Linked DNA regions of Lepisosteus oculatus. The protein of the gene in region 1 interacts with the protein of each later gene in a pairwise test. Links are inferred from orthologs where the notes say so. Each region holds a gene or a part of one and is shown in the gene's direction. Other genes may lie near its edges.

Region 1 (15,204 bases):
CAGGAAGTTCACCCCCTCCACGTTCACGCCGCCTGCTTCTCCGGGTGGCTCTTGAGCTTGTGGAACTTGACGCTCTCCAGCTTCTCGAACCTCTTGCCGCAGTGCTCGCAGGTGAAGTTGTACTGCACCTCGGGGGTGTGCTTCTTCATGTGCCAGTTGAGGGAGGCCCGCTGCCGGCACTGGTACCCACAGATTTCACACCTGGGCGAGGGGGGGGGGGGGGGGGGGACAGAGCGAGCCGTCAGGGGTCATGATCGCTACAAGGCGGAATGTGCTTTGTAATGCAACTACAAGACCTTTGTAATAACAGCTATATACGCTCAGATTTGAAACAAAAAACAAAAGTAAATAGATCTTAATTATGTATAATTAATATACATACATCGATATGAAAAACTTGAAAAGTCACAACTGCGTAAGTATTCAAAACCTTTCCAGCTAACAGATCGGAAAGTTTTGAGACCTTTGGGGGTACAGAGTTGCCTTAATGAGCTACACTATAGGTGAAGTGACAACAGTCTGTGTGCAATATGAGCAGCTAACATGGTTACAGACTAAATACAGCTCTCCCTGTTAGACAGATAGATAATACTTTATTAAAGGTCAGGTAATGAGTTTCTAGTTAAGATTCCAAAATGAAAATCAAACCTCCTGGGACTCTCAGAACGGCTTCATCACTGTCAACAGAAGACTTGACTGGAATTCACAGTCTTTAATATGCTTAGTGTGCCACCTGAATAACCATATCCAAAATTCAATCACCTTATCATTTTTAACTGGAAGCAAGTTGGCTCACTCACATTTGTTCAATGGATCAGAAATATGATGCATAATTTTAAAAAATCAGATTTTTAAAAGCTTGGCAAACATTAGTGAAATATTTTGAGACTTTGAGCTTACCTTCTACACCCTAGATCTTAATCTGTCACTAACTGGCCACAGAGATGATATCCGTTAGGACTGGCCTTCCACTTTTTTTTTTAATACCTAGAGAGTTAGTGTAATTAACTTTATGATGATCTTTTTTGATTTTTTGTGTCTTCTGTCCTTCAACTCCTTTTTGCAAGTGAAGATTTGGGAGAAATGTGGGAAGGGGATGGGAATTCTGTATTTTTCTTTCTCATTAATTCTTCCTGCATAATACACTGTACCAACAATCTACATGACCTCTGACATTAGTTTAATATGCAATATGCAGCATGTATTTTTGCTGGTGTGAAAAACAATAAAAATACATGGACAAATTACTAAGATGATGATTTTTCCTGCTTTAAGATTTTTTTCCATTGCAATTATTTTGCAGGCATAACATAGAACACTGCCTTTTACAGAGAAGGCTTATGTCTGTTTCAGCTCAACTGGATAAAGTGGCTAACTGCAACAACTTTTAAATTTAAAGACTGACAGGATATCAGCTGAAGCAGTCTTTCCGGGTTTTGATCTATGGAGTGTGCATGCTGCTGGGGTTTCGGGAATTGAGGGATACTCACTGCAGCGGCGTCTCTCCAGTGTGTGTGCGGCGGTGAACCTCCAGGTGGTTTTTTCGCTTGAAGGACTTGCCACAGGTCTCACAGATGAAATCCCGCACACCTGGGGGGGGAGGAGGAGGAGGGGCATGCTGTCACTGTTACCAGATGCCACATGACCATAATCTGATTGTACTCTGGTCCTGGAGAGCCACAGTGTCTTCTGGTTCTTGTGCCAGCTCAGCTCTGACGTCAGCGATGTCATTGGATCGATCAGTTGCATTAATAAGGAGGAATTAACATGCTATACAGATCCCGCACTTGAAGGGGAATTGCAGTTCCAATTCCTCAGACCAGTTATTAAATCTCAGTAACAAAATAAATTAATGAACTTACACATTTTTAATTAAGCACGAAAACCATGAACTTTGTGAAAGTACTGCAAGATTGCCATTGCATCACAAACCCCTGGTCTCACCACGGGCAAAAGTGAGGGTCGGTGACAACTGTGACTTAAACCAGCCCTTCCTGCTCACTAGTAACTATAATGACTAATGTAATGGGATGTACAAGCGAATTAAGTACAGGTTGCGTACCAGTCATTTCACTGCAGAAAGCTTCCAGCTTGATCTGTATGCAGAGTTAACAAGTAGTATTTTGCTGGCAAAACCATCCCAAAATCAAGAGTAATATCTGTATTGGATTCAAAGAGATGGATTAACAAGCCTGCTTGTTTACAATGTAATAGAGCTGCATCATCTCACCGAATGTTTCGTTGTCTCATTTCTGAATTTGCAGACAATTACAGCAATATGATGCTGTGCATACCTGGAAATTTGGTCTATTTTGTGATGTAAATTGGAGGTTTAACATGTGATGAGTGCATTTCAAACTTCAATAAAAGTAAAATGTACACAGTAACTTCTGATTCTTTCTAACCCACAACAATTAAAATAGTGTTGCAGTTGCCCTTTCAGTTTACCCATAAAACCTGCAGGACTGCATCTTTACAGGAACTCATATACCTGTACTACACAAGGAACTACAAGACCTGATTTTAACATGGAATAGATTTTTGCATTTTATTCTTCATTTCTTGTTTGTCCCCACTGATTGGCAACACCAGGAAGCTTGCCTAAGATCCGAACCATAAAAAAAAAGGTTCAGAATAGGCTTGCGAGATCTGACATCACTGAAAGATAGCAATTTAGCCATCCAAGAATCTCATTAAGACTTCTTCAAAGTTCCACAGAAGTTAAACATCAGATCAATGAAGAGAAAGGATGGCTGTTCCTGGTCTTAAGGAAATGGCTGGAACACACAGATTAAAGGAATTGAATCTCTCTAGTCTGCACTGCTTGACTGGGTACGTGACAGAAATATTTAAAACACTGAAAGGTTATTAACATTCAATACAGATTACTACTATAGGACCAGCAGCGAGACAAAAACATGAGTGCAAACACAAGGGTCAGGGTTTAGATGACAAAAAACACAAAAGGAATCGATTTCCCACTAAGGGTTGGAGGGATTGGGAACAAACCCCAGAAACGTCAGGACACACCCACGCCGAGGGCACTGTAATGAATGCCTCTGTGCGGGTGCTCTTGGGGTTACCTGAGTGAATGATCATGTGGCGGTGCAGGTGATTGGAGAGGTAGAACTTCTTCCCACAGCCAGGGTGCGGGCAGACCTTCGTCCGGCCCTTCCTGTGGACCAGATTGACGTGGTTCTGAAAGGGAGGAGGGTACAGGAAGTGGGTCAGACGTCCAGTATGGACACTGGAAGCTGCTTCTGGAGGGTCTGTCACTTATAAATGGGTGCCTGGGTGAAAGTTCTAGTTTTATATACAGTTCCTGTTGTTGACAACGCAGTTCAGTGTAGTTTTTAAAACAGGTTTATTTCTCAAACCTCTCTATAGAAAAAGAGCACGGAGGCACTAACATACCCTCAGCTCAATAGTGGATGTATTTGCCTTTATGTTTGACACAGACTTTCAACATTCTTTTTTCCAAGGAAACTAAGCCATTTCAAGGCAGATAGAACCACCTCAACACTGTTAAATAAAGTCTTTTATTGCAAGTGTTATTAACATACTGTCTCACATGCTGGTTTGGTAATATCAGTACCACTGATTGCAACAGGCTTGAAAAACTAGTCAAATTAAGTAACAAATTAATTGGGGGCAAATCGAATCACCTTATAAACAGAAGGTGGCAAAGAAAGCAATGTGTATTATGGAACAAGTAATAGGTTTATTCCATACTGAAAAGAGAAGAAAGAAAACAACGTTTCGGCTGCGGATCCTTCTTCAGGTGCCTCACACAGCAGCCTAGGCAAGCTGACGCAGCTCCCCACCTGAACTACTTCAATGTGTATTATGGATTGTTCCTCACCCCCTTCACTGTGGGTTCACACTACTCCCATTTGGGAGACACCTCTGTGTCCCCAGGTGAAATACTAATAGACACAGGAAATCTTTCTTTCCCAGTGCAATATCTCTTTCAAACAATTGACCGTAACCATCTTCTGCCTGAACCCAGTCCTATCCCAGAAGTGCTCAAACTCTCAAGCTGCTGCTTGTGGCATCCCGGTCAGGAATCTACTTGTGACATGAAGTTGGAACTAACGACACTGAGATTACAGGGCTCACCCTGCTCTCCCCCCCCAATCAAGAGCCACCACAGACTTGTTTTTAGAGAAGATTCAGCCATAAAAAACAGCAATTAAAACCACATAGTGATATAACCCAGCAGCCAGCAGCTATATCACCCTGCAACTCATAACTGGCAGCCCTTTGTAGTTCAGCAAGGTGTGAGCCTGGTCAGTACCTGGATGGGAGACCTCCTGGGACCAATTAAGGCTGCTGCTGGAAGAGGTATTAGTGGGGCCAGCAGGGGGTGCTCACCCTGCGGTCTGTGTGGGACCTAATGCCCCAGTATAGTGACGGGGACACAACAGTGTAAAAAATAAAAAGCACCATCCTTTGGATGAGACATGAAATTGAGGTCCTGACTCTCAGTGGTCATTAAAAATCCTACAGAAAAGATCAGGGGTGTTACCCTGGTGCCCTGGCCAAATTACCCCCTGGCCTTTACCAATCATGGCCTCCTAATAATCCCCATCAATTAACTGGTTCCATCACTCTGCTCTCCTTCCCAGTAATATCGGGTGTGTGGCGAGAAGACTGAAGAACTATGGCTGCCCTCGCATCATCCTGGTGGTGGTGGTGGAGTGGAGTACCTCTAAAGCACTTTTTTGTGGAGTGTCCAGAAAAGCACTACTAAGTGTAAGGAATTATTATGAATTATAACCCCCATGAAACAACTAATTATAAACTGTAATTTTGCATCACAGACTTGTGCGTAAAATAAGGTTCCCCCTTACCCAGGGGGAGTGACAGGCAGCCCGATGGAAGTGCATGCGCCTTCACTTTCCTCACCTGGAAGCTACTGATGGCCACGTACACCTGGCTGCAGCCCTCATACGGACAGTGGAACATCTTCAGCATCCCGTCCGCCTCGATCACGGGCCCCCGCCGGCTCCTCTTGGACCTGTAGCAAACCGCACAGGGAACAAGGTCATACCACTTCCACAGGCCAAGACACAAGCCACCCCCCGAGGCACACGCGCCACCCGAATCCCCTGTCTCCTGCCGGGCAACCCCAGCACCCTTGAGCGTTTCCATCAAGATGGCGGATCAAAAAAATACCCTGCCTTTGAAAAAGCTAAATAGGTCATATATTTATGTCGGACAAAAATCAAAGAGTAAGGAGAAGCCAGACTCATTCTCTCTGGACCCAGATGGAGAAGAATAACAGCCTATTTAAAAAGCATGTCTGCTTCACTCTTGATCCCTGGCACGAGATTGCCCTGGCACTGTCCAAAAGCCATTTTCTTAATTGATTTCCTGCGCACAGTCGATATCCCAGAGAGACATGCAGCCCTGAGCTGGGGTCACCCAGAGGCCCCTGCCTTGTCGCTCATCTCTAAACTAGAAATATGGTTTGTTGGGGTGCCATTGGCAAAGCGATCTGAGGGTCTTTAACAATCAGCCACTTCTTGAAAGAAACCGGGGCATAGATTTCATCCACATCAGAGAAACAGCGTTACCCACCTCTGAAGCCCACTCTGGATCTCCTTCTCCTCAGCCGGCACGCCCAGGCCCTCCAGCTCCAGGTTACTGTGCACCTCCTGCCTGCTGCCGACAGCTGCAAGCGCCAAGGCCACATTTTTACTCCCCCCTCCGTCATAACCACACAAGTCCAGCAGCGTCGCCAAAAAGATTTTGGAGTTTTAAGAAACAGGCACAGACAGACAACCGTTTTCAGAAATTCATTAGCTTGGGTTTGCTAAAAAATAAGATGTGAGGTTAAAAGGATGGGCACAGTTATGTAACCAAGGCATTGAAAGTTTTTTTTAATTTGTCGCTTGAATATTGTTGGTTACGAGAACTAATTAAAGGTGAAAAAAGGTCTGAAATGATTTGTCTTGATTTCAGCCTTTACATCTACAAAAGCTGAAATCTCAATAAGGGTGGGTAGACTGTTTCTATATCCTCTCTATTTTAACTGGATTTTCCTCCAGGTTTGTTAAAAGGCTCTGATAAAGAGAATCCACTAACCAGATCTGTGCAGCAGGGATTATATAGTCTACAGACTACTCTCAGACCAGCTGTTGATAAAAAACTGCAGAATTTAGATCTGAACCCACCCATCACGAGGATAAATTAACAGCTCATATGATTTCTCCCAATACATTCATTGTTTGTTCACCTTTTCTGTATCCCATTATAGTTTTACTAATTCTATGTTCTTTCTGCCTAGGCTACTCACATTAGCAGGTTAAACATCTCATTTAAAGATAGAATGGCTCTTTGCACACTGGCCTTCAATACACAAACACCGTGAACTGAAACACCTGCAGCTAGGCACACAGGCAGCAAAGATTAAGATCTCATCTACATAAACACACAAAGGAGCTGCAAGGTGACAACCGCCAAAGACTGACCTCTAGCAGTGTCCAAGCTCTGGACGACGCCCCTGTGCCCGAGCCCAGAATCGCAGACCTGGTTATACGCCACCCCCTCGATGACCGTGCAGGTCATCTCTTCCCCCACGCTCTCGCCCACGTTCAGCTGCAGGCCCTCTGTGGTCAGGGCCTCATAGCTGGGCCCTGTGATGATGATCACCTGCCAGGAGAAACAAGGAAACTGACTGAGAGTCACCACTCCCCCTCCCCGTAGAAACAGGTGGGAGGGACGGATCAGCAGTCCAAGACTGGTACAAACAGTTACAAAACCCAGAAAAATACTGAGCTTAAAAAGAAGGATATTTTAGGACCAACAGTGAATCAAGGAGACCACTGATTAAATCAAAGAACATAGGCTTATGGCTTAAACAGGGATTATTATAGGAATCTGGGCAATATAAGATAGCCAGTAGTGTTATTACAGCACACTGCCAGGGAACCTAGAAGAAAAGCATGCATGAGATCCTCATATCAATCAGCAAACCAGAAACAAGTGGGCTAAAGCTCTCCTGTTTGTATCCTTTCTTACATTCCACAGCAGGCATGCAATCAGAAGAGGGAGCGAGCCAGTAAAGAAGATGTGTCGACTATGAGCTCCGGAACAAGAGGAGGCCAAGACGTTTCGAGTTGCCTCGTTTCAGTGGATCCAGCTCTGATTGAGGGAAATGGGAAGGCCATGGGTGGGGGGTCCTACCTGGGATCCCTCAATGGCACCCTGGGCGTCGGGGATCTGACAGCTGGCCACCACGGTCTGCAGAGTCTGCTGGTCGTACAGCTCCCCGCCGCCGGTGATGTGCATGGTGGGGGGAGGAGGGGGCGCAGGGTGGGACGGATCCCGCCCGGAGTCCTCCGCCACCCCAACCCGCCCGTCTTTGACTGCCCTGTCCGTGAGGGCGGCAGTGACCACCATGCACTCGTAGTCCGTCTCGGCGGCCAACGCGCCCCCTCCCTTCTCCTCCTCCGGTCCCGCCGCATGCCGGCCCAGGGCTCCGGGACCCGATTCCGAGGATGCCGCCGCATTTTCCGGCTGCCCAGGGGGCTCGCCGGCCTTGTTGCCCTCCAGCACGGCCTCCCCCTCCTCCAAGACCACCTCCATGTTCCACAGAGACCTAGCCGCCGGGGAGTCCGCGTCGGCTTCGCCGGGATGGCCCGGCGGAGGCCCCTGACTGTCCTGCGCGATGGGCTCTGCTCTGGCCAGCTCGCCATCGCCGCCCTGCAGGCCCTCCGACATCTCCTCGGCCGTCTCCGTGGCGTCTGCGGCAGGAGAAAAGGGAAAGAAACCGTCACAGTCAACCCACGAAGGATGTACACGCAGAAATGTTGATTATTGTTGGCTTTTGGCGTCGGCTTTAACCGGTTCGGCCATTCACCCAGGTGGCACGCAGAGGCCGTTTTCCTCCTGGTGCAGGGTGCCACCCTGTCGCATGGCGGCGTGTCGGGCTCGGGCTCGTTCTCCGACTCGCTGGCATCCTTGCTGGGAGAGACCAGGTGCTGCATGTAGCCGTGGCCGGCCTGGCACTGCCACACCGCCGTGGTGGAGAAGCCCAGCACAGGCTCGAGGGCGTGCAGCTGGGGCTCGTGGGGGCAGGTCTTCTGGTGCTCCATGTACCAGCTGACCAGACTGCTCAGACAGTTCACATTGCTCTTCTTCCCTGAGGGGACACAGGCACAGACAGTAAAGCGCACGGCACCACTGTCAGTACTAGGTCTCTCTACTTCTTACCCACAAACACCTTTCCTCCCACAATCCAAAGACACGCTGATTGGTTAACTGGCTTCTGGCAAAGTTGGCCCTGGTGCGAGTGTGTGCTACTGTGTCCGCCCTGCGACGGACTGGTGTCTCGTCCAGGGTGTGCCCTGCCTTGCAACCAGAGCTTGCTGGGATTGGCTCCTGCTACTCATTGATCCTGTATTGTATAAAGTGGTTAGAAAATGGATGGATGGATTAATGCTTCAAGAGTCACAAGATTAGATGCAGGGTGTTTGGAGGGCTTAAATCTTAAACAGCTTAAATATAGGTCTTTGTAGCTTATTTTAGATATTATTTTAAATAGGAGTGTCTTGATAATACTAAGAACGATGTGCAAATTGTACAGGGCTTCTATTATTGTCTCACTTCAGCCACTCAAATTATCTAAAAAGCTTCAAGACCATGTTACAAAAAAAGTAACTATTTTAGCACCGAAATGTGCTCATTGAAAGGAGTTTGCTTTTACTTGGAAAAACGAGAAAATATTTACTGAAAAGTATGGGATACGTGCAGACATCAAATTAAAACAGCAACGGGCTTTAGCACATTTCTACAGTTCAACTACCTCTTGTTACCAACTGTTTTTACTAACCCCTTTTTGGTTTGACACAAAACTCCGCACTCAGCTTCTTTCTGAAAGACAAGAAGAGGGTTATGATACAGGCTATGGTTTAGACAGCAGTAAGTAATTGAAATAATTCAAAGAGGTCATTGCATTTTCCTATCCCCTTGCTGTAAGGTCAGTAGGACATTTTCTCACATCTGATGCAACAAAACAGTCTGAACAGACTAATGTGTTAAAATACCACAAGAAAACCCACACTGATCAGCAAGGCAAAATGAATAAGATTAAACTCTGTAAAATTAGAAATGGTTCAACGTGCAATGCAGTTTGGACATTACTTGGCTCACTCTAGCAATGTTTTACAGAACATTTATAGCTGTACTGCAGAAGTTACAAATGCAGATATCAGTGAGCAATTTTTCCTGGGTGAGTCAAAATTCGGCAATCGTGATGAGGGATTTAGGCGAAATATTTCAGTGCATTTGTAGGGGAATCTGAAAATCACTAGATTACGCTTCAGATCAACTAAAAATCCATGTGTTTTGCAACATAACATCTGAGCCAAGACATTTACATAAATAAGACATCTACAGTAATAGCACAGATGGACAAAATACCACTGTCACAACAACTAAGGTTAGATTAGAATTGACTGATTGGGAAGACTTCTCTATGAAGAAAAAAAGACTATAATGAGACAAAATTTATTGAAAAAATAAATTATCATATTGCTAGCAGCCAAAGTACCTGGTCGAGAGAGCACAGGGTTATTAAACTGAATATTAGGTTTGCACTAGTTCTGGTCGTGTACCATTTAGTAAGCTTACCCTTAAATGAAGCATGTTCTGCTCACAAGAATAATAATAAAATATTTTTTGTAAATGGCTTACCCGCCGTATTTCTGCTGGTACCTCTCGCCATAAATCGAGTCGAGCAGGATTAAATACTCGGCTAGTCCGGCGTCGCTTAAACTGGTCCGCTTCCGAAGTTCACTCCACAGTTTGTGCGACTCCCCGAGGTACACTCGCCGGACGTCGTACTTTTTCCGGGACTCCAATCGCCTCTTAGCTCGGTCCGTGTCAGTGAGGCGAGGACGTCCCCGACAGCGCCGCAGAATCGCCGAAATTTGGTCTCCAGCCTCCTGGTCTAGAGACGTCTCTTCCTCGGCACTCATGTGCGCCATCTTGGTCAACAGCTGTGTGTATGTTTCTGACCTTACCGGAAATAGTCAAGGTATGCGACTTGACCTCACCGGAAACACTGCTTGCAGAAAAATGATTGGATAGCGGCAATATATTTATTCTTTTTACTTTATTTCAGTACACATATTCAGTGTAATCACAAAATTGAAAGAACAGCATGGGACAAAACCAATTCCTCTGGCACTGTTTTTAAAAGTGGCAAATGCCGAGAGCGCTACAATACTGTTGTAGGCCACACACTGTTTTTTTCTTTTGATTAATCGAATCATTTCGCTCTAGAATTGCTGTACCCACGCTATTTCTCCTTGTACCAGGTTAGGCTGTAACATTAGTTTCTTCTTCGACGTTTATCTTTAACGCAAGCACACGCTAAGAGTAACAAAAAGTTCAAAACCGACTTTTCTTCTTATTATATTTTTAAAGCAGTCTGTCTGGATAACTTTAAGTATTTAATTTTTTAATCCTAAGCAAGGAGCTACATTTAATCAAACCAGAGAGATTCAACAGATCAACGAGACAACTGCATTTTTTTTAAATGTCAAAAATAGCTTGCACTTTAAAATCTCCGTTATCAAGGTGTCGTGAATATGTCTTCAAGTAAAAGGTGCTGCGGTTTAATCCTACGTTTCTTTTATCCAATGGGAACTCAAGACACCTGACATACGCACATCTCGCCCTATAACAGCTCGGGGGCGGGGCCTGACACAGCGCGGGAAGAGTTCACGTGTGGGTTTGTTTTCGGACCGAGCGGAGACAGGAAGTTACTCCCTTGTCGGCTTTGTTTCCATGGTAATGGCAATATGGCAGAACTCTTGACTTGGGTCTTCGATCGCTACAGTCCTCGGGGACGCGAGTCGTCTCCTTCTCTTTCTCCTCCTGAGGGAGAAGCCCGCTCACTGTCTTGTATCCTGCTGGGGGGCCGGGGTTGTGGCAAGACGTGCCTTCTGTTTCTAACAGCGGTGATGGCGGCTTCCGAACTGGGGCGGAAAGTCATCTTTCTGAGCCCCACTCCGATCCAGACCCTCCCTGCTCCGCTGATGGAAGCGCGGGCAGGCTTGGACCCCGCTAGCCTGAAAGTAGGTACCGTGCACATGTCTACGGGGGCATAAAACTTCACTTTGACGCTGTGTAGTCAAGGATATTGAAATGATTAACACCGGCTCTTACCCACGTCTGTAACAGAACTCTCAAATTTATTTTGATTTTTACAGAACGCAGAACGTGTAGTAAATATTGATAGACTGTGTCTATTACATCTTTTTTGTCTTCAGTCTGTTTTCAGTCTTCAGTGTATTAAGTATCTTTAAATCACTCAATATAGGTATTTCTGTCTTCAGTCTAGTAAATATTTTAATAAAAAGCCGTTGGAGACAGAAAAGCAGATGGCATCAGTTTCCAGCCTCCTTGGAGCCATCCTAGAACTAAGCAGATGAGAGCAGTCTCTGTCCTCTGGGGTCATAGCTCAGTCTCACCAAACGTACACGCCTGTGTCACCCTTCCAGCCATGTTCTCACTGCTTGCTCTAATTCAAGGTTGTGGGGGAGCTGGAACCTATCCAGGCAAGTGATGGGCACAAGGCAGGATACACCCAGGACGGGACGCCAGTCTGTCTCAGGGCACACACAGACATAAACAGATACACACTCACCCCACGGCCAGTTTTCCCAGAAGTCACTTAACCTATCAGTATGGTTTACGGTAGGGCTAGGAGGGACTCTTTCATTGTGCAAATCTGGACCCTTCATCCACTTGCAATGAATGATAATGGACACCTGACTGAGAAATGTGTTGGAATCTATACTTCTTGTGAGATGTTTTCTTTGAAATAAAGTTTATTTTGATTGAAAAAAAAATCAGTATGGTTTTGGACTGTGGGAGGAAACTGGAGCACCTGGAGGAAATCCACATGAACACAGGGAGAACATGCAAGCTCCACACAGACAGCACCCCAGAATTGAAGCCAGGGCTTTATTGGCAGCAGTGTTCACCACTCTTCTACCGTGCTGACCTACATTTCCTAACCACAACAATAATAATTATTCTTCTTATTATTACCATTATTATTTCTTACACTTATTTAGCGCTTTCATCTCATGATGTCCCCTCATGCATTTGCAGAAAATCAAGTTCGTGTACCCCCGGACGGCGGAGGAGCTTCTGCGGGACGTCGCGTGCCTGCACGAGGCAGCCGGCGCGCCGCCCTCCCTCCTCATCGTCGACGGCTTGGAGCGCTACCTGCGCTGGGGAGGGGAGGGCGAGCAGGCGCACCAGATGGCCGCGCGCCTCTCCGCCCTGCTGTGCGACACCGCCACCTTCCTGAGCCGGGCCCGCGCCGGGGCCCCCGGAGACCCCCCCGCCGAGTGCCAGCTCATCGTGTCCTTGGATACCCACCCGGAACGCGGAGCCGAGGCGTCGGGCAGCGATTCGGTCCTCTCCGTCTTCGAGCGCTACTTCCCCGTCAGGTGCACGCTGGGAAGAGACGCCAGCTGTGCAGGGACAAGAGCTTGCCGGATTTATTTCTCCGGTTTCCAGCAGACGGAAGGACGGGACTCTGGACTGGGACGCCAGTGGGAGCTGGTCTATACCCCAAGCGGAGCCATGGAGTTTACCCCAATCCCAGAAAAGAGCCAGGAATGAGATTCCCTTGTGGCTGGAAATGCACAAAACATTTATTCACTTATTTGGCCTAAATGTCTTTTGGATTTTGGAGGAGGTTATGGGTTTTGTGTCCTGTTGTGTGTGGGCAGGCTATTGAAACAGGGCAGTCGAGCACAAAAACAACAGACAAACTTAGAAGTTGGTTTATATGAAAAATCACATTCCTCTCATCCTGTTCGCAGCCAGCTCCTGATTGATCATTCCAAACTTTCCTGGCTATTCTCTTCCATCACCTGAAAATAGAAGCCTATAATGGCTCACCTGCGCAGATTCCCAGGCTAGGAATTCTGGACCATAATCCTGGAAAAGCCACAGTATGAAATAACCAAGTCGTACATTCAGGCTGGGAAAGTTTCAGATCCATACGGGTCCAAAAGAACTCTTACAGTGTACTTGAGTCATCTGTTATTCACACAGAGGGGGTCGGGCTTCATTTCTTTATTTCTAACAGAATGATCGGTATGCGCTCTGTGGGCGATGCCTCACCTGATAGTTCTCTCTGTATTTCCTCAGCACTGTCCTCCCGAGCTTGTTGAAGTTGAATTTTTTTCTTATGAAGAGCTTCTAGATACTTGAACTGAAAGATGAAGGAAAATACAGGGTTAATCAAAATGCGGTCGACAACTTTGATATTTACGCTTTTGTTTGAAACCTTTTTTATCACAGTAACCCATGTAATTAACGGTCAGAGTTTTTTAACAGTTACCTTACAATCCTTCACCATCTGTGGAGGAGAAAACAAAACCTTAGTAAAACAATTGACATTTATACTCGTTGACAACATTTTGATTAACCCTGTATATATTATAGAACTTAACATACATCAGCATGGTCTGACATCAGTCAGTCTCTGGAATCGTGGCTTAACTCCTTGACACCTGCATAAGCTCTGGCCCAGAGATTCACTGTGGTTCAAATAGAGAAATGAACTAACAGCTCAACATCCAGTGCATTCTTAAAACTACCCTGCTATCAATAACTCTGCTCATTATAAGCCATAACCATTGAGTACTCTTCTATACAGACCCCTCTGCCACCACCAATGTGTCTCTCTCTTTGATGATTAAGATACTGGATTATCCTGCCAGGGGTATTTAACAGATAATGTCATCATTTCTGAGACAGAGTTGTATATATTTAGGATTTACTCTCTACCAAGTCGTAAATATAGTGCCACTAGAGCAAGGCAATGTAACTGCTGCTTGCTAGATTAAGAGAGTGTCTTTGAAGAGAAGAAACATAAGTTACAAAGTGTTGTTTAATGCATTTTTTTGGAGACAACACATCCGTGAATACCCTGACAGCAGGCACAGGATTGCAGCCTTTCCGTCTACAACATTACTGTGCATTCAATATTGAATTGGACCTGGGTCTTGACCGTGAGACGTCATTCTGCTTTTGTAGTGAAATAACCAAGTGACGTGCATAAATTGCACAGAAATAAAAACAATGCATATTGAAAAGGGTTAAAAGAATGTCAAGATCATTGCGTGGTGAAACCAGAAAGGAATCATTCATGCAGATGTGTCTGTGAGGCGTGTCCATCTTGTCCACCAAGGCCTTATAAAGGCTTTGTCCACATAGATGGGAAAGCATTGAATAAAGACTGCTCGATTCGTCTTAGGTGCGGCAGTGGTGGTTTCTGTCCCCATAAGCTCCACTTCTGTGACTGTTGTGCCACAGCACGCCAGCAGAGGGCGCCACAGTCGAGAAATTCAGCTTTCTGAAACTGTGTAGTCCTGACCTTGTTTTTCATTAAGGCACACTCCCTGGACTTACAGTATGCTCCCTCCCTCTCTCGCAGATAAGCCGGACATGGTCTCCTGCTTGCGCAACAGATACAGTTTTATCTTTCCAGAGAACACAACCGCACGCTCTTGTGCCAAGAGACTCTGTTAACTGAAACACATCCTTATAACCTCCAGTTTAACAAGCATTAGAGCTCAGGTCTACAGTGTAGACATCTGGCACCAGTAACACACAAGGAGAGTATGAGCTTTTGAAAAGCTAATTGTTTCCATTCCATACTGAAGTTTCTATCTGTACAGTTTTAACAAATAGTCCCTCTAGGCAGTTATTTCACAGAAACTTTATTTCAAGTACAACCATTTTTTTATTTTTAGATATAAAAAAATAAAACAGCTGAGTAGCCTGAGCCATGAAGTTTTGAACAGACATGCAGGTACACTCCTGCTTTTGTTTGCAGAATGATTCATGTATTTACCCAAGTAACACCTGTTTGTGTTCAATGCAGTAGAGAATACAGAGACCTTACGAGTTTGAGGTCAGCGGTTTGTGAAAATTGAAAGCCTTGGTAGTGATCGTTTGGGGACAAACCCAGCGGAGCAGGAGATGAGAGCGTATTGCTTTGGGAAGCTTAATGATCTGGGAAATTTATCTAGGTTTTGGGTTGCGTTTTCATTGATCAGATTTGCTGTTTTTCCACAAGTAAAATTATAACACGTAGCCACAAGTTAAATTGTCCATTTTGAGGCTAAGTATTAGCGGAGGCTATAAGGAACCTCTGACAGT
Region 2 (15,408 bases), on another chromosome or scaffold:
TTTAAACTGCCGAGTACACGAGGGGAAGGAAAATGTACAGTATCTACATGCAAGAATCAGATGTGGAGACCATGATTGTCAAATGTTGTGTGGACAAAATGGGTTATAGGTTTAATTTTAATTGGTTAGCATCTGATGGTTTCTGTTGTTAAAACCATAGCCATTTTGGCCGGCATTAAAGTGTAATAAACGAAGAGTGAGTTTAGCTTCTATGTCAACAAAGGGCTTGAAGCAGTTGCTTTGAACAGACGTTTGAGATGGCGCAGAACAGTGAACTGTGGTTTTTCTGTACGTCTTGCGAAAAGGGGTGTTTCTGCACAAAACATTTCATTGTTTTTTAAAATATAATTCTAAGAATAACGGCAAAATGCAAGTTGGGACATGATGATGATCTCTGTTCTATTAATAATAACAGGATTATGGGTATCCGGCATCTGTTTGTTTTCAGTTTATACTTAGCATGTTTTTGTTTTACCGGTATACAGGATACAGTTTTTTGGTTATTTGATAAGGTAGCTGCTGTGAATCAGATTTTTTTTGTGTGTTTTCACCTACAAATATGTGTTCTTGGATATTTTTTTTGAAAACCGCTGCGTATGGTTTATAGCTCACAGGCCTGAGAAACAGACGCCCTTGGGGTTTTTTCTTTTCTAAGCACAAACATGAATTTGGGGAGATCGCTAACAGCCTGGTGGTTATGGCATTATCCTGATCTGCACAGGAATGGCAAAACCATGCTCCTTTCTCCTGTCTCCCCATCTCGTCCTTCCAGCACAAGACGGCTGTGAAGAAGTGAAACCCCAGAAGGTCACCAAAGTTGAAGCCGCCTTGGATTCGGGAATTCTGGTTCCGTGCAACTTCAGCACCAGCTTGCTAAACCAGTCCAAGACCAAGGATTGGGAAGTAGTGTGGACCTTCAATAACTCCAATTCCGAGACCAGTCTGGTTCAAATCTTGTCGTCGGGACGCGAGCGCTTCTTGGAGAACAAGAAGGGCAGACTCAGGGTCTTCCCGGGCCTGTCAGAGAAGGGCAACTTCTCCATCCGCATCGAACAGCTCCAGCCGCATGATATGGGCACATATCACTGCAAGTTCTTAGCTGGTCGCAGTTGCTTGGAAATTCAGGGGATTGAGTTCAGCCCAGGTAAATACAACAGATCCATCAGAACTCCTTAGTGAGCTGAAAGACAAGCTAAGGGGAATTTTTGTGACCCAACTTCTCATCACCTTTTTAGTCCTGTTAGTTGAGGCAAAACACATGAGTCAAGAGTAGTCAATAAACAGGTGCTTTGCCATACAGATAATGCAGTTTTAAATAAATTTCATAGCCTATAAAATCCTTAATTCAGTTTCTTTTCAGTTGAAGTGTAGTCTTACCAAACATCAGGCGCAAGAGTTATCTTGGTGTGAACAAAACAGTGTAACTAGGTGCAAGAAGTGTTGTGCTTTTCCTCCAGTGCTTCTTACCCTGCGTTTGAAGTCAGTCCGGTGTCAGTGGATGAAATGTCAGTCCAATATAGTTTTTCTAGGTTCTGGGAGCTCGGTTTGGGAGAGCTGGTACGTCATCGGCTCAGCAGGAGGACTGGGGGTCATCATACTCCTTCCCTTTTTCGTTTTGTGTCTGCGGCGAAGAGGTGAGCATTTCTTCCTCCTGATGTCTGTTCACTTTGAAATGACTTATTTCTCTCTGAAAGGCTTAGAAGCAGAGTCCCAGTGGACTAAGACCACTGGAGCTGAAGCCTGCCTCATACTGGGGCCTCCCAGGCCTCCCTTTTCTGAAAGACAAACTAAGACAATACCTGAGATAGTGAAGGGGGACAGGATACATCAGTATCACAATCTCTTCTAGTCCTTTGTTTCCACCACATTTTGAAACATTTCCTTGGTTTCTGATGTGACCAGGGCTTTTAAGGGACATAGAGCCATTGGTACAGTAGACCTGAAGGCTAAATCACACCATACAGCCAATTTACCCCATGAGCTTGGGACGTCATGTACGTATGATTTAATATAGGTGTACCTCCTTCATGTAGGTGTGACTTTAGAATCCTGCCTGGAGTTTTCATGCTTTGAGCATGGCTCTGTGTTCAGCTGCCTAACTGGATTATTGTACTTTCATTCTCTGTTAAAGGTTGCAGACGCCTGGCTGACCCGTCAAAGTATGTACCAGTAATTTGTTGTACCTGCGCAGTTTATTTTCAGATCGCTTTCTTGTTGTTATATCAGTATTCTCCCGTAAGACCTACCCATGAAAAAGCAGTCTCTGCAGAAAACAGCCAAGCTGTTGTTGTGGTGTGTACCTTCAGAAGAATGGTTGGATTAGCAGGTCATCCTGTTCTTGTATTGTTGTTGCTGGTGGTGGTAGTTCTCTTGTTGTTAAGGTAAACCCAGGGCTTTAAAGGGCTTGAAGCTGTTGTTAACACTACAGTGTTGTACCTTTCTTTTACTTCAACTACAGACGTAAACTTCATATGTTTTCTTTTGATTCATATCCTAGGAATCTTGGTCACGGTAAGAACAGCAGAGCAGGTAATGGCTGTCTGTCTCAAACTCTGGAGAAATGTATCCTCGTATTGTGAAATTCACGAGTTATTAAATAAAAAAAAATTATTAAATCATTAAGTGCTACTATGAGATGTCATGCAAGTTAAAATACTTAAAGCCCACAGTCTTTCCTCTGAGAGATTCAGGAGATTCAGGGCTCTGTATATTACATTGTGTAACGAAGCCTTTATGAAGGTGTTGGTAGCATAGCATCCAAAGGCAAAAATGAAAAAAGGAGTTACCGTTGGTTTTAAACTTTTAGGTCAGTCATTGGAGACTATTTATGGAAACATGAGCTTTCATAAAGGTAGGATCTACAGATTATTTTTGTTCTAAAGTAAATGTTTTATTTACAGTGCATTTAGAAGTACTGTGGGGACCTGTAACATGACAGTGGATATAATGTTTCTCAGCTCACAAGTGCTCTCATCACTGCATTTTTAAACCAGAGGGTGCAAAGTCCTTAGAAGAAATCTATAAAGTCCTTCTTTCGCTCAAGCCGCATGTTCCCAGCTCACAGTCCCAAAGTAGCTTGTGCAATAACCACAGAAAACAACACTTTCTTACCGTTGTTAAGATTTCTGTCTCCGCCTTGTGGTAGTCTCTTCCGAACGGCCTCAAATCAGTTTGGAAGCCCTTGAACCTCACAAGAATCAGTAGTATTACTCCTCTTTTATTTCAGTGACATTTAAAATGAGCAAAAAAGGAGAGTGAGGGCAAAGGTTTTCTATTTCTCTTTTCTGGGTTCTGTCTGAATAGAGCCACATGCAAGGCAGTGTTTGTCCTTATGCAGTCTCTAAACTACATAGTTGCCTGCTTTTACTGCTCTCCGTTTTATATGTCTGAGTTCCAGTAGCTTCATTTACAAAACAGTGATTCTTAATCTCCTTTAATGTCTCTTTCATGGCTGCTCTTTTGCCTCTTGTTCCAGAAAACACCATGGATGTGACTATCTATGGTAAGTCTAAATGTACAGTATTTGTGTGTTTCTGTGATTGAGAAGTGTTCACTGGCATGCAAATATCTAGGTTGTCAGGGAGTGGCTGAGTGCAATATAGTTTATTATGGGACTAAAATAGAACCTGAATTCCTTGTGTTTACTGTATATTATGTGAAAAAACATTGTTTTCACCAGTTTAATGCATTGCAGGAAATGCACAAGGCAAATAACTAAAAACACAGCAACGGAAGCTTTTACTGTTTTTGTTTTTAACTGCTTTACCAGTGAATTCCATTCTTTTCCCCATTATTAAGAAAACAGCCTTCATGACCCAGAACACAGGGAGCATGTGAGAAGAGATCCAGTCATTACTCAGAGTAAGGCACCAGTACTTCAGTTTTATATTTTAATTTCATAATCAATGGTGGGATTAGGTTTCCTTTTTACTGCATTATTATTACCACAATTCCGAGGTATACTGACAAGACTTGCAAGCATGGGATTATTTGAATATACAGTATATCATTTTAATGCATGTTAATAATATCCATAATAACATGCATGTTTCTGTTTTTTGTTTTGTTGAGTGTACGAGAGGTCTCGAGAAGGATCAGAGATCAAAGAAGGTGTTTTCCATGGCCATCACCTGTGGCCTTTCCCGGCGGTCATTAATCAATTCCTTTCAACTGTCTTTAATTTTCCTACAGGCTTTGGCGGAGTAAAGAAAACAAAATCAACAAAACCCGATTATGGTATGATCAGTTCTTCTTCTCTGCATGTGAGCAGTTTTAGATCATTGAAATTCAGCGTGTGTGTTAACATCAATTAGAGCTTCGGTTGAGCAATGCTGTTGGGCTGGATTGAAAAGCAGCAGCTCTGCGAGTCTCCAGGCCCAGACCTGTGAACCCCCTATCTGTTGTAGGGAGTGGTGGGGTATACCCTGAGCCTGCAAATGAATATGATTGAATCCCTGGAGAGTTAGTCACTGGGTCGGCCCTAAAACATTGTTTCCTCCAAATCATATAGGAAGTGGAACACATACCTTAATGGAGAATGAGTGGGGGAGGGTGAAAATTCAGTGTGAATTAACCCCCTAAGAAAGGGGGCACATGCAGAGATGATATAAAGCCACTCATTATAGGTAGCTTAGTTAATTTAGAATGTCTTCATTCCTTAAAAAACGCTTCCTCACCTTGCTTTTCGTCTTTGTTTTTATTACAGTCAACCAACGAGAGCTCTCCGAAAGCATGGACACCCAGAGAGCAAGGGAGAAGAAAAGTAGGTGCTGAGATCTGTTTGTGCGCTGTCGTACTGATGACTTGATTGTGTTGTCAACTGGAAGCTGCTGAAAGAAATTCAGAAATGTATTCCGTTTCCTCAGTAACAGCAGCCGGAGCAAAAGAAAGCCTCATGCTTGTGTTTTTGTGTTACAGAAAGCGAGGGGGTCAAGAAGAGAAGAGAACAAAGTAGGTCCTGTTTGGGGGGGGAATTTGTGTGTCTTGTTTTTTTTTTCATGCAAAGGATCATGTTTTCCCAGTTGCCCCGCTCGTGCTTCTGGGATAGACTCCAGGTTGCCGTGACCCCTGGCAGGAAGTCGGATGGAGAATCCCTGTTTCAGCTGCCAGTGTCCAAACACTCTGTGGTGCCGAGAGAAGACCGTGATCTAGATGCACGGATGTTCTGGCACCGGACTGTGACATTTGCACCACTGAGCTGACTTTGGCCCCTCCCCCCCACACATCCTGCAGACGATGTCTCACTGAGAGTGGGCACCTTAGGATGTGGTGACTGGCCCACTCATAGCTGATGCAAATAAGTAACAGCACGTAGAAACCTGGTACATAAAATGCCATAGCAGTAGTAAATGTGTGACAGTACAGCACCAGCCTGAACATGAAGGAAGCATCAGCAAAAGCACCTTGTGACTGCTTGGCCCTGTGCGTTCTGCAGGCTGTTGTTGGACACACTAGTGTTCTAGTGCTGCAGAGATCACCGCCTCATAAACACCTTGCAATTGTCTGTACCACATTTGATCTGTTTATCTATCATCTGGCCTTGGGTTCTTTATTTTGTGAGAACTATACTGTGTCTTGTGGAGTAGTTAGCTCTTAGATTTTAAAGACTAACAACAACAGAATAAACATATACCTGTTTTATTTCTATTTTATTTGATAACCTAGTTCAAGAGTTACTTTGCTACCTCCTTGTCATTAAATTCAGGTATGGTTACATGGTGTGCAACTGATGTAACAGCTTACAGTTCCAGGTTAACAGTTTCTATTTTATCCCTTACAGGTGTAAAATATGAAAACCCAATTTATGCCAACAGCCGTGAACATCTGAACCAGCTATAGGAATGAAGGAATAAAAAAGGAGATATTTAATGGTTTATATTCAGGCTGAAGTCACATTCAACGTGTTTGATGCAAGTGTTTGTGCTCGGTAGCAGTTTATGGGCTGCAGACAATTTGTGAATGTAAAAGAAGCTGTTGAAACATCAAGTATTACTATAGCCTATACAATCTGCCTTTCGTGAATGCACTATCAGCAGGGTTTAGATAGTATCGTCTTATTGATACTCTTAATGTTTTTATTAATGAAGTACATTTTACACATAATACAGATTATAGACAATTCATAAATTATGTTTTGTAACCTTTAATACCTTAATATGGGTAAAAACATGTTCTTAAAGGGAAGGCTTGTGGAAGGGACTGGGACTTAACAGTTTTGTTTTTTTCAACACAATCTATTTGTAAAAGTTGGCCTCTAAAATGTTATCGGAAACATTTTTTGAAAAAATAAATAATTTGAAGTTACTTCTTTCCTTGCATAGTTTGTTTGTGTCTGCCTTTGCTTTTTAGGTGAATGAAAGACATCAATACCTATAGTTGCAGATGAAATGCTGTTGTGTCAGTTTCAGTCTGAGACGTTTGTCTGTCTGTAAATCCACTGAGCGTTTAACAGAACCCGGACTATGCCAATTAATTTGATCTGATGTGATCTTTATAAAAGGGCTTCTAGCTGGTTTCCAAACATTTCAATTGTATCTGTTCGGTGACAGGGACATGCAAGGGGCTGTACTGTTCAAATCTGATGTTGAGCTTCTGTCAGGACCCATACAGCAGGTCCGGAATGGATCAGCATGTACTCAGCGTCAAGCAGGTTTCTTCCCTAGTGCACCAATAAGATGAGTACAGGAAACGGCTTCACTAGCAGGCTGTCATTGGTATTTCACTCCAACTCAGTCTTTCTGTAGGACTCTTCACCGTTTCAGAACATTCCTGCAAGATGCACTATGATCCTCACAAGAGCACAAAGGTTCTTAGTCAGAATAAACACAAAACGTGTTTGAATGGATGTATTCTGGACTCCTGTCAGTGACCAGAACATTTGTATGCCTTTGCACCCCTTATTAAATGAATGGTTATGCAGATATCTTGAGTGTGAAGTGTAATGACCGTATAAACAAGCAGCAGATATTACAGATTTACAGTCTAAGGTTAATCAAGTTTTTATTAGTTTTAAATTAATGTAGATACTTAGCGAAGACAGAATGTGAATATATTCAGTAATACAACAGCAAGCACATTACGTTGTTTGACGTCTTGTGTCAATGCGTAAGATAGCCAGCTAGACATTATCAAACGCATCACATGTTGAACTTCCGACCACTTGTAACGACTGGAAAACGATGTTTTCCGGGGAACGAGATTGTCGACGGGGGATGTAGTTTTCTCAGAGGGAGTCTCGCAAGGGACGTTACAATCTGAACTACAATGACCAGGATTCCTTGCGCTTGTACGTCGTTAGGCGCTGAAAACGAGCTCGTTTCCCCGGTAAGTTCATGTTTTTGAGTTCTTTTTAATTTTGAGAGAAATTAATACTAATGAAAATACATGAATGAAAAGCTACTGAAAAAAACGTGTACTTTTAGTAGACGTAACTAGTTATGAGCTTTTCATTTTTAGTAGTTTGAAAGAAAACATAATACGCAAGCAACGCGAGAGCGTTCTTGCTTAACTTAATTTTTTTGTTTTCATGTTAAAAATATCGTTTATGTACTTGGTTATCGAATTGAGCACGGTTGTTCACGAATTGGTTAGCGAAAACGTCTATTGCTGTTATTAAAGGGCACCATTGTTAAAGCGTGTGACTACATTAAATTTGTTAAAACCTTTAGTTTTTATCATCAACAAGAAATTGTGTAAGCTTCTCAATGTTTTTTTTTCTTCTTAACGGTAGTTTGCACCAAAATATGTAACTTGTTAGCCCGGAAACTGTAAATTTTACTGCAAATTATCTGAATGTCCTGCTGCAGGATTGTCTTCTGTTGTGAATCTGCATCACGTAAGTAGTAGCATGAAGGAGACAGTTACTGGGTAGTGGATGCAGGTGTCACAATCAGTGCAAACATGCGACTTTCCACAGTATATCGATTACATCGTTTTAAGTTGATTGGTGGTAATGATGATTTTGAGCAAGGTTTGCTAACGAAACAAACTGTAACTCAAACAGTGTTATTTATTATTAAATGAATGGTTATGCAGGTATCTGAGTGTGAAGTGTAATGACAGTAAAAACAAAGTTTCCAAAATATATAAATACTGTATCGTATCGTAAGTGCAATTTACCCTAATTTTAAATAACTTTTTAATACACATTTAGGCTCTAAACCTGTAGAATTATGCATGTCAAAGTTTGTAATTAAGCAAAATAATTTCTACAGAAGCACTTCCAATATTTGGTTTAATACCTTGCTTTCTGTGAGATATTTATTATTCTTTGTATTTCTGCAGGGTCTGGAAACATGTCCACAGTTTTGCCTGATGTGGCTGAAGAAGTTCTGAAAGACATCAGGAAAGCTTACCAGGAGACATCTCAAAGTAAGTACAGTGTCACACTGTCATGTGTTTAAATAAATAATAAATAATCCATACACTTATATGCCAGCAGCCATAGCATTCTGCAACTCACAACTGGCAACCCACTGAAGATAAGCAGGTGTGAGCCTGGTCAGTACCTGGATGGGAGACCTCCTGGGAAAAACTAAGGCTGCTGCTGGAAGAGGTGATAGTGGGGCCAGCAGGGGGCGCTCACCCTGCAGTCCATGTGGGTTCTAATGCCCCAGTATAGTGATGATGAGGATACTATACTATGCTGTCCTTCGGTTGAGACGTAAAACTTAGGTCCTGACTCTCTGTGGTCATTAAAAATCCCAGGGCGTTTCTTGAAAAGAGTAGGGGTGTAACCCCGGCGTCCTGGCCAAACTTCCCATTGACCCTTACCAGTCATGGCCTCCTAATAATCCCCATCTCTGAATTGGCTTCATTACTCTGTTCTCCTCTCCACTGAGAGCTGCTGTGTGGGGAGAGTACTGGTGCACTATGGCTGCCGTCACATCATCCAGGTGGGGCTGCACATTGGTGATGATGGAGGGGATCCCCATTACCTGTAAAGTGCTTTGAGTGGAGTGTCCAGAAAAGCGCTATATAAGTGTAAGGTGTTATAATAATAATAATAATAATAATAATAATATTATTATTAATCTAGTGCTTTTCTATAAAACCAGTTCATAGATGGGGATTATTGAAAGGCCATGATTTGTAAAGTCCAGGAGGGAATCTGGTCAGTGGACATTGAGACGTTTTTGTTTTTTTATGTTGGTGATACAAACTAAACACAGAAGGTTTTAGCAATTTTCAGGTCCTCTCATACTTTTTAACACGCACAAAGAAGTCAAACGGAGCCCAGTCGGACTGTGATTAAAAAATCGACTGGATTTACAGTGCACTGAATTGATATGCCTATGCTTTCCAGCAGAGGTCGCTGTTGTTCAATTCGTTGGTTGAGCGTTTGATAGATTGTAGACGAGAGAGAAAACTATTCCTGTCTGTGGACCACAACCTTTTCAAAACCGTATACTTGTCAGAAATTGTTGTGTGTTCTTACGTAAAAAGCAACGTATCAGACTTTAAATAAGAAAATATTTGAGATGATGGGTGACAGGGTGTAGTTGGTCTAAAAAGTATTGTTTTCTTTCTGTGTTCTTTTATTCCATTTTGGGGGGGGGGGGCATTATGACATTAAAAGCAGCATGATTTATGCTAAAACTGTTTTTTACGTGATCTGCATTTTAGTCTTGTCTTCCCCTTTTGAATGTTCATCTAGACAGTGGTTCACAGTGATGGGACAGCTTCTGGTTTTCGAGTCTTAGTTTTTTTTAACGTTCTCCCACTGAGGAATTTTGCGTGCCTGGAATTCAGATTTTACAGTTTGTGAGGTGCTGTGCCAGAGCGGTCTTCACAGAGTCCGTTTGCAGTTCTGGGACCTCCATGTGAATTTCATTTAGAGCCTAAAAAAACATTTGATGAGGTTTCCTCTTGTGGGAAAGGCCCACAGCCATTGAAAAAGAAAAGGACCAGGCAGATGTGTGTAATTTTGTGCACAGACTCCCGTGGATTGATGAAACTGCAGGGCCTGTGAGATTTCCAGTTCTGGGAATTACCCTTTGTAGAACGTATTCACAAAGCTCTGCATTTCTTGTTCCGGCGCAGTTATTTTAGCGGTTCAGCAACATTTAAATGATTGATAGGTTTCTTTTTTTAAAGGCTTCTAAAGCTGCAGACAAAACACATGTAAAAGGACACAAACGGAGCGATGTCTAGAGACAGTTTCCTTTTTCTGCCTTTTCCTTCTCAGTCACGATGGGGGATTTCGGTGACAAGAAAGCCGTTAAGTCTGCAGCAAGCGTTCACAGCAGCCTTCAGTGTATTCAGGCTGAAGAAACACTTTTCCTTTTGCAACCCGAGTGCTGGTACTGCCAAACCCCGTCTTCTAACGAAAAAAACACAATTGTGGCAGTGATAAACAGGAAACCTTGCTATTTTTTCAGCTTTGCATTCTTAACACTGACAGATTTTTACGCTGATTGATGTGACTTCCCCTGCTGGTATCTGCTTAGTTGATGTCAGTACTTTTGAACTGGTGCACAATTTAGTTGGACATATTATAGATTGCCTTCATTCTCCATAATTAGTCAGGTTTTTAAAACATTTTTTTGTGCGGAATAAGAATACGCTTTTTGAGTGCCTGTTCTCCTAGATTAAATTATATCAACAGCGGCAAAAGAAAAATTTATGAGACCGTTTATCTCCCTCATCCTGGAGACCGAGCCTTAACAAGCAGCATACAGATATCTTAATCCCAGCATTTTATCACTTACATATTCTGTTATTCCTAGAACTGCCTGATGTGTCAAAGCTGGAATGAATTGAAATTGAGCCACAGACTGTTTGTTGATGAGCCACTGATTTTGTTTCCTAAGAAGTGACCTATGTGGTCTTGTTAAACGCAAGGCTGGAGAAGCAATATTCTTATGACCAACTTTCTCATGAAAAAATAGTATAAGTGTTTTCTTATCTTGAACACTAGAGAGTTTTTTATGTGCCTGCTTCTTTCTTTTCCAAACAATATAGCAGGAATGTGTTGCAATTAAAACTACATTCAAATTCTAAACCTTATGTTTCTTCACAAAATAGTCAATAGAGATGGTAAATATATACATATCCAGTAATAATCAGCAGAAATTCCAAAGGTTAATCTGCTTGGGTTGATCATATAGACTTAATTTATTTTTGCAGTGTAATGTCTCATCATTTTGCAGTGTAAAATAGTAAACAGTGTTTTATACATATTAAAGTCTAACTCTGCTTTTGTGCTTTATTTTTTCCAGTTCCAGATGAACTCCTTTTGGTGTGAGTATGGCTTTTCTTAAACCATTTAATAACTTTTGTGTTTACAACAACTTGTTTCTAACATGTTATAATTAGAGATGTATAGTGCATATTGCATATGTACATTTTGACTGTAGTATTATGCATCACATACCTATTTCTAACAGGTGCCTTAACAGGAGACCTGTTTTGCTATTTAAAATAATAAGCAATATAATTTTTACTAAGGACTTCATAAAGTTTCAGCTGTAACACAGCTGTTCAACTCTCTCTGTGTCCAATTTACAGTGTTCTTGTGTTTCATCTGTGTGCACAATTACTGGCACCCTGCTATAGGGATAGCTTTATTCATCTGTCCATTACTGGAAAGCTGCTTATTCCTGAAAAGTGTGGCAGTAATCTAGAGATTATCCCAGAAGCGCAGGGCACAAGCTGGGACTCTGACCCTGATGAGATGCCAGCCTGTTGCGGGACCCAAACACAAGCACAAACACAGAGGAACACTTTGCAGACCCCAGTACACCTAGCTGGCATGTCTTTAAAATGTGGGTGGAAGCTGGAATAACTTAAGAAAAGCCTTTTTATTCATTCTTTTCAATGTATTTATTCATCATTTTTTGATACAATACAGGGTTATGATTGTATGCAGTTCTATTATATTTTTTTTCTGTATGTAAGCACACAAAAATCCTTCAATGCATGTTCACAGCTGAACAAAGCAAAAACAAATGCAAGATTAAAATGAAGTAAACAGTCCCTCTTCCATATTCCACTAAATCTCAGCCATCTGCTGAAACTGGCTTTGTGGAGATATAGAGAGGGCACTATGGAGAAGGTCAGCAGTACATCTTTTTAGACCTGTCCAAGTGGCACATTAGAAAAAGAGACTGCTGTGCTATCTGCCAATAAGATACCCGTGGTCCACTTCCTGCTCCGTGCACTAAGAATTAGAGTTTAGTCCTGTTAATTAATGGTACACAAACTATATGAAAGGATCCTTTGGTGATGTGGAGCTGAAGTGGATCCTGCTATATGTTTTTCTTCGAGCCTTTTAGTTTTCCCCCCCATTTTTGAGCTACAGTTAAACATGCTTTAAAAAGTCGTGTCATCTGTATTTGATTACACTCCCTACCCTGTGGGTGTTTTAATGTGACTTTTCAATCAGAAAGTTTGATTTGTCACAAAATATGCTTTTGCAAGTCTAAAATAACAAGCTGAAAGACTCCCAGTATATAAAGGATTTTACTGTCCTGCTTTCTTGTTACTCTAGTCAGACGCCAACTTCTTGTTCCCAGATAAATCCCAGTCTGGACACTTCATTGCTTCTTGTCCCAGAAGTAGGCTCCAGCCTCACTTAATTAGTCATCCTTATGTGTTTGCCAAAATCTGCAGATCTAGCTGTTTATGTTTCTTGATTACTCACTGAAGGACCCCATAACTATGATAGTCATGGTATGAAAATTATACTTTACTCAGTATTTATTTGTTTCTACTGTCAATCTTATATTTAAGGTGATAAACATTTAAATGCACATGTGATTAATGCAGTAAGCTGCAAAAGCAAACTTTGAACTCATGACTTAAAAAAATTCAGGGGCTTTGAGGGGGATTTTTGGTATCTTTTCATTACAATGGAGGTAAATTGAGCATTTCCAAGTCTTTGCCTAGAGATTAATTTCAATTCAGATATTTCTGCTCACTAGTTTTGAACCCCACCAATCTTTATAAAGCTCTGTCTCTCAAATGTTGCCTGGTCTACATTATAAGAATATCAGCGTCTCTCTTGCATCTCTGCAATTTATGACTGCTAAGATTCTATATTCAAAGAAACAAAATTTAAGACAGTTGTGTTTAAATTAACCAGTTAGACTGTTTTTAGTTTAAAATATATAAATACATAGATTAAATCTTCCATTGGAATGCAGAATTTGCCATAATTATGATAAAATTAGACTCAACACCAGCCGCATGTGCAAATCAGATAGGGTTTATCCAGATTTCCACACTTCTTAACATATTTCAAGAGTTTACTTAATGGTAGATGACAACAACTGTTCTTGTGAAATGTTTGAAAACAAATTGGGGTTTCCCTTATTACAGAACATCAAACAATAACTATATGCCTTTGGAAACACTTGATCTATTTCTTACTGTGTATGGCCAATACGTGGCAGTAGGAGGGCTGTTGCTTTATCTGTGATGAATAATAACACAAAAGCCTTAAGTTACAGATAATGTTTCAGTGCAGCCCACAGTAGTCTAAATGATGTTTTGCGTGCGTGCTTCTAAGGGACACTAAAAGCAGTGTACTTCTGAGCCGAGAAGTAAATAAAAAGTAAAAGTGTTTTAGAAAAATAAAATGAAATGGGGGCAAATAAACGGATGAAGACTCTTCATACGAACAGTCCTTTTTTTTTTACTCGCCAGCATCTATTTAACATCTGGTCGTTCCTTTAGAGTTTCAGAACTGTTTGGCTTAGAAGACAGACCTCTGTTGCTCATTCTTTTGTATCCCGCCAAATTGTTATTGCAGTGACCCTTCCTTACCAGATTTGTCAGTTTCACTGTATTTGCTCCACGCAAACACTCTATTTTGAGCTAACACTGGAGCACACACCTACTGTATGGAGACAGAGGGGGAGTGAGTGTGCTCGATGATTGGGTTGCACACCTCGTGTAGTGGACGTCATCACTGGAGCAAGACTTGGCTTGGGTCCCTTAAGTTACAGATAATGTTTCAGTGCAGCCCACAGTAGTCTAAATGATGTTTTGGAATCACTATGTTTGAGTGATTAAGATCAACAGTTTGAGTGCCAGTGTGGAATGAGAGTGGCAAGGCTTTGGGAAAGCTGGAGTTGGTCCCTTATTTAAACCATGAGAAGGGTCACAAATGAGAGGAGGCAGTTCAGCCCAGTTTGCTCATTTTATCGCTGACCGATAATGGATCCTAGGTCCTTGCTCGGCCTCTGTCTGCCTGGCTGGGCAGTTTCTGTGGAAAGAAGCGTCTCTGACTCTTTGTGCTCAACTGTGCTTCTTGCAGCAGAGCCTTGTCTTTTGTAGATCCAGCACTATTATAGAGAAGTGATGGGTTCTGGCACCAGAACAGCTACATGTACTGTATGTGTGCAAATTTCAGCCCGGCGGAGCTATAGCAGTTTTTTGAAGGGTTGATGGGATGTAGACCTGTCTTTTTTTTTTTAAGTATTTGCCCACACCAGAACTGATTGTAAATCCAGAACCCGGGGTATGGATTTCAAAGCGCATTCACAGCTGGCGATGTCCGGAGCGGTGCACTGTCAGAACAACACCGCAGTGGTCGTCAGCCTCATCGGACTTGGCACATTGTGTTTGGAGGACGCCCAAGAAAAAGGCTTGATGCACTCATGGGACACTGATGCCATATCCACTGCAGCTGGACAGAAGGTGGAAAGTGGTAGCTGAAGTGTAGAGTGTCTTCTGAGAGCTGCAATTAGTCATTATGCTCCTCCTCAGAGGGTAGTTGTAAATTCCCATGATGAATTTAGAATGATGTGTTATTTTGGTGAGTCCACATTTACTTTATCGAAATATGTAAAAAGCCCTTCGGTTTGTTTCCAGGTTTTTAGTGCCGGTTGTTTGTTATCAATTTTTAATTTTTTTTCCATTTGCTTCTGTCAGCTGGGATTACTCATGCCACTCATTTTTGAATTTCCTTGATTTTAATGGGCCTAGTGGTCAGAATTCAACCCGCAAGACCAGATGTCCAGTTAATTGAAGCTATGCAGTTCTTTTGTTTTCATATTTGATCGTTTTCCTTGGCTCCTGCCGTGGAAAAGGGAGGGACAACTCTCTTTTGTCGGTGGAGTGCTTTAGGAATAGCTTTCCAGTGAACCTTTATTTGTATGGGTTTTCATGACATTGGTCTTTGATTTGTTAGTGTTTGTTCCATTCATAAAAAAAAACAAGAGTAAAACATTTTAAGTGCGTCTTGACAAGAACTAATCGCAGCCATACACTGCGTGGTGGGCTGGTATTTATGCAGCTGGGGTTGAGTGCACAAACAGTGGTTTTCCAGGAAAACTTAGTGGTCTGAATGCAAGGTGATTGTATTTTTGTTTTTTTTTCTGTGGGAACGAAGAAGTATAAAAGCAAGATGATAGAGAAGCTTGGTCAAACATTTCCTTCTGCTAATATTAGTCAAGCCAGCTG

What was found.
Region 2: the proteins of swsap1 (region 1) and zswim7 interact in binary tests that used the Homo sapiens proteins (3 or more experiments, as listed by UniProt). The link is inferred for Lepisosteus oculatus from reciprocal best matches to the Homo sapiens genes SWSAP1 and ZSWIM7.

Annotation. Positions count from the first base shown.
Region 1 is NC_090706.1:17,208,539-17,223,742, forward strand, and holds swsap1 (ATPase SWSAP1), read left to right. Parts: upstream 1-10,725; 5' UTR 10,726-10,814; coding exon 10,815-11,090; intron 11,091-12,132; coding exon 12,133-12,651; 3' UTR 12,652-12,992; downstream 12,993-15,204. Other genes in the region: znf653 (zinc finger protein 653), read right to left, coding at 24-201, 1,491-1,590, 3,084-3,198, 4,909-5,020, 5,584-5,677, 6,477-6,657, 7,192-7,751, 7,868-8,149 and 2 more. UniProt on the Homo sapiens protein: ATPase which is preferentially stimulated by single-stranded DNA and is involved in homologous recombination repair (HRR). Has a DNA-binding activity which is independent of its ATPase activity.
Region 2 is NC_090721.1:4,207,041-4,222,448, forward strand, and holds the start of zswim7 (zinc finger SWIM domain-containing protein 7), read left to right. Parts: upstream 1-7,591; 5' UTR 7,592-7,791; coding exon 7,792-7,834; intron 7,835-8,283; coding exon 8,284-8,370; intron 8,371-11,219; coding exon 11,220-11,241; intron 11,242-15,408. Other genes in the region: uncharacterized protein, read left to right, coding at 773-1,144, 1,521-1,634, 2,132-2,159, 2,498-2,529, 2,807-2,851, 3,476-3,502, 3,799-3,861, 4,192-4,236 and 3 more. UniProt on the Homo sapiens protein: Involved in early stages of the homologous recombination repair (HRR) pathway of double-stranded DNA breaks arising during DNA replication or induced by DNA-damaging agents. Required for meiotic progression, hence for fertility.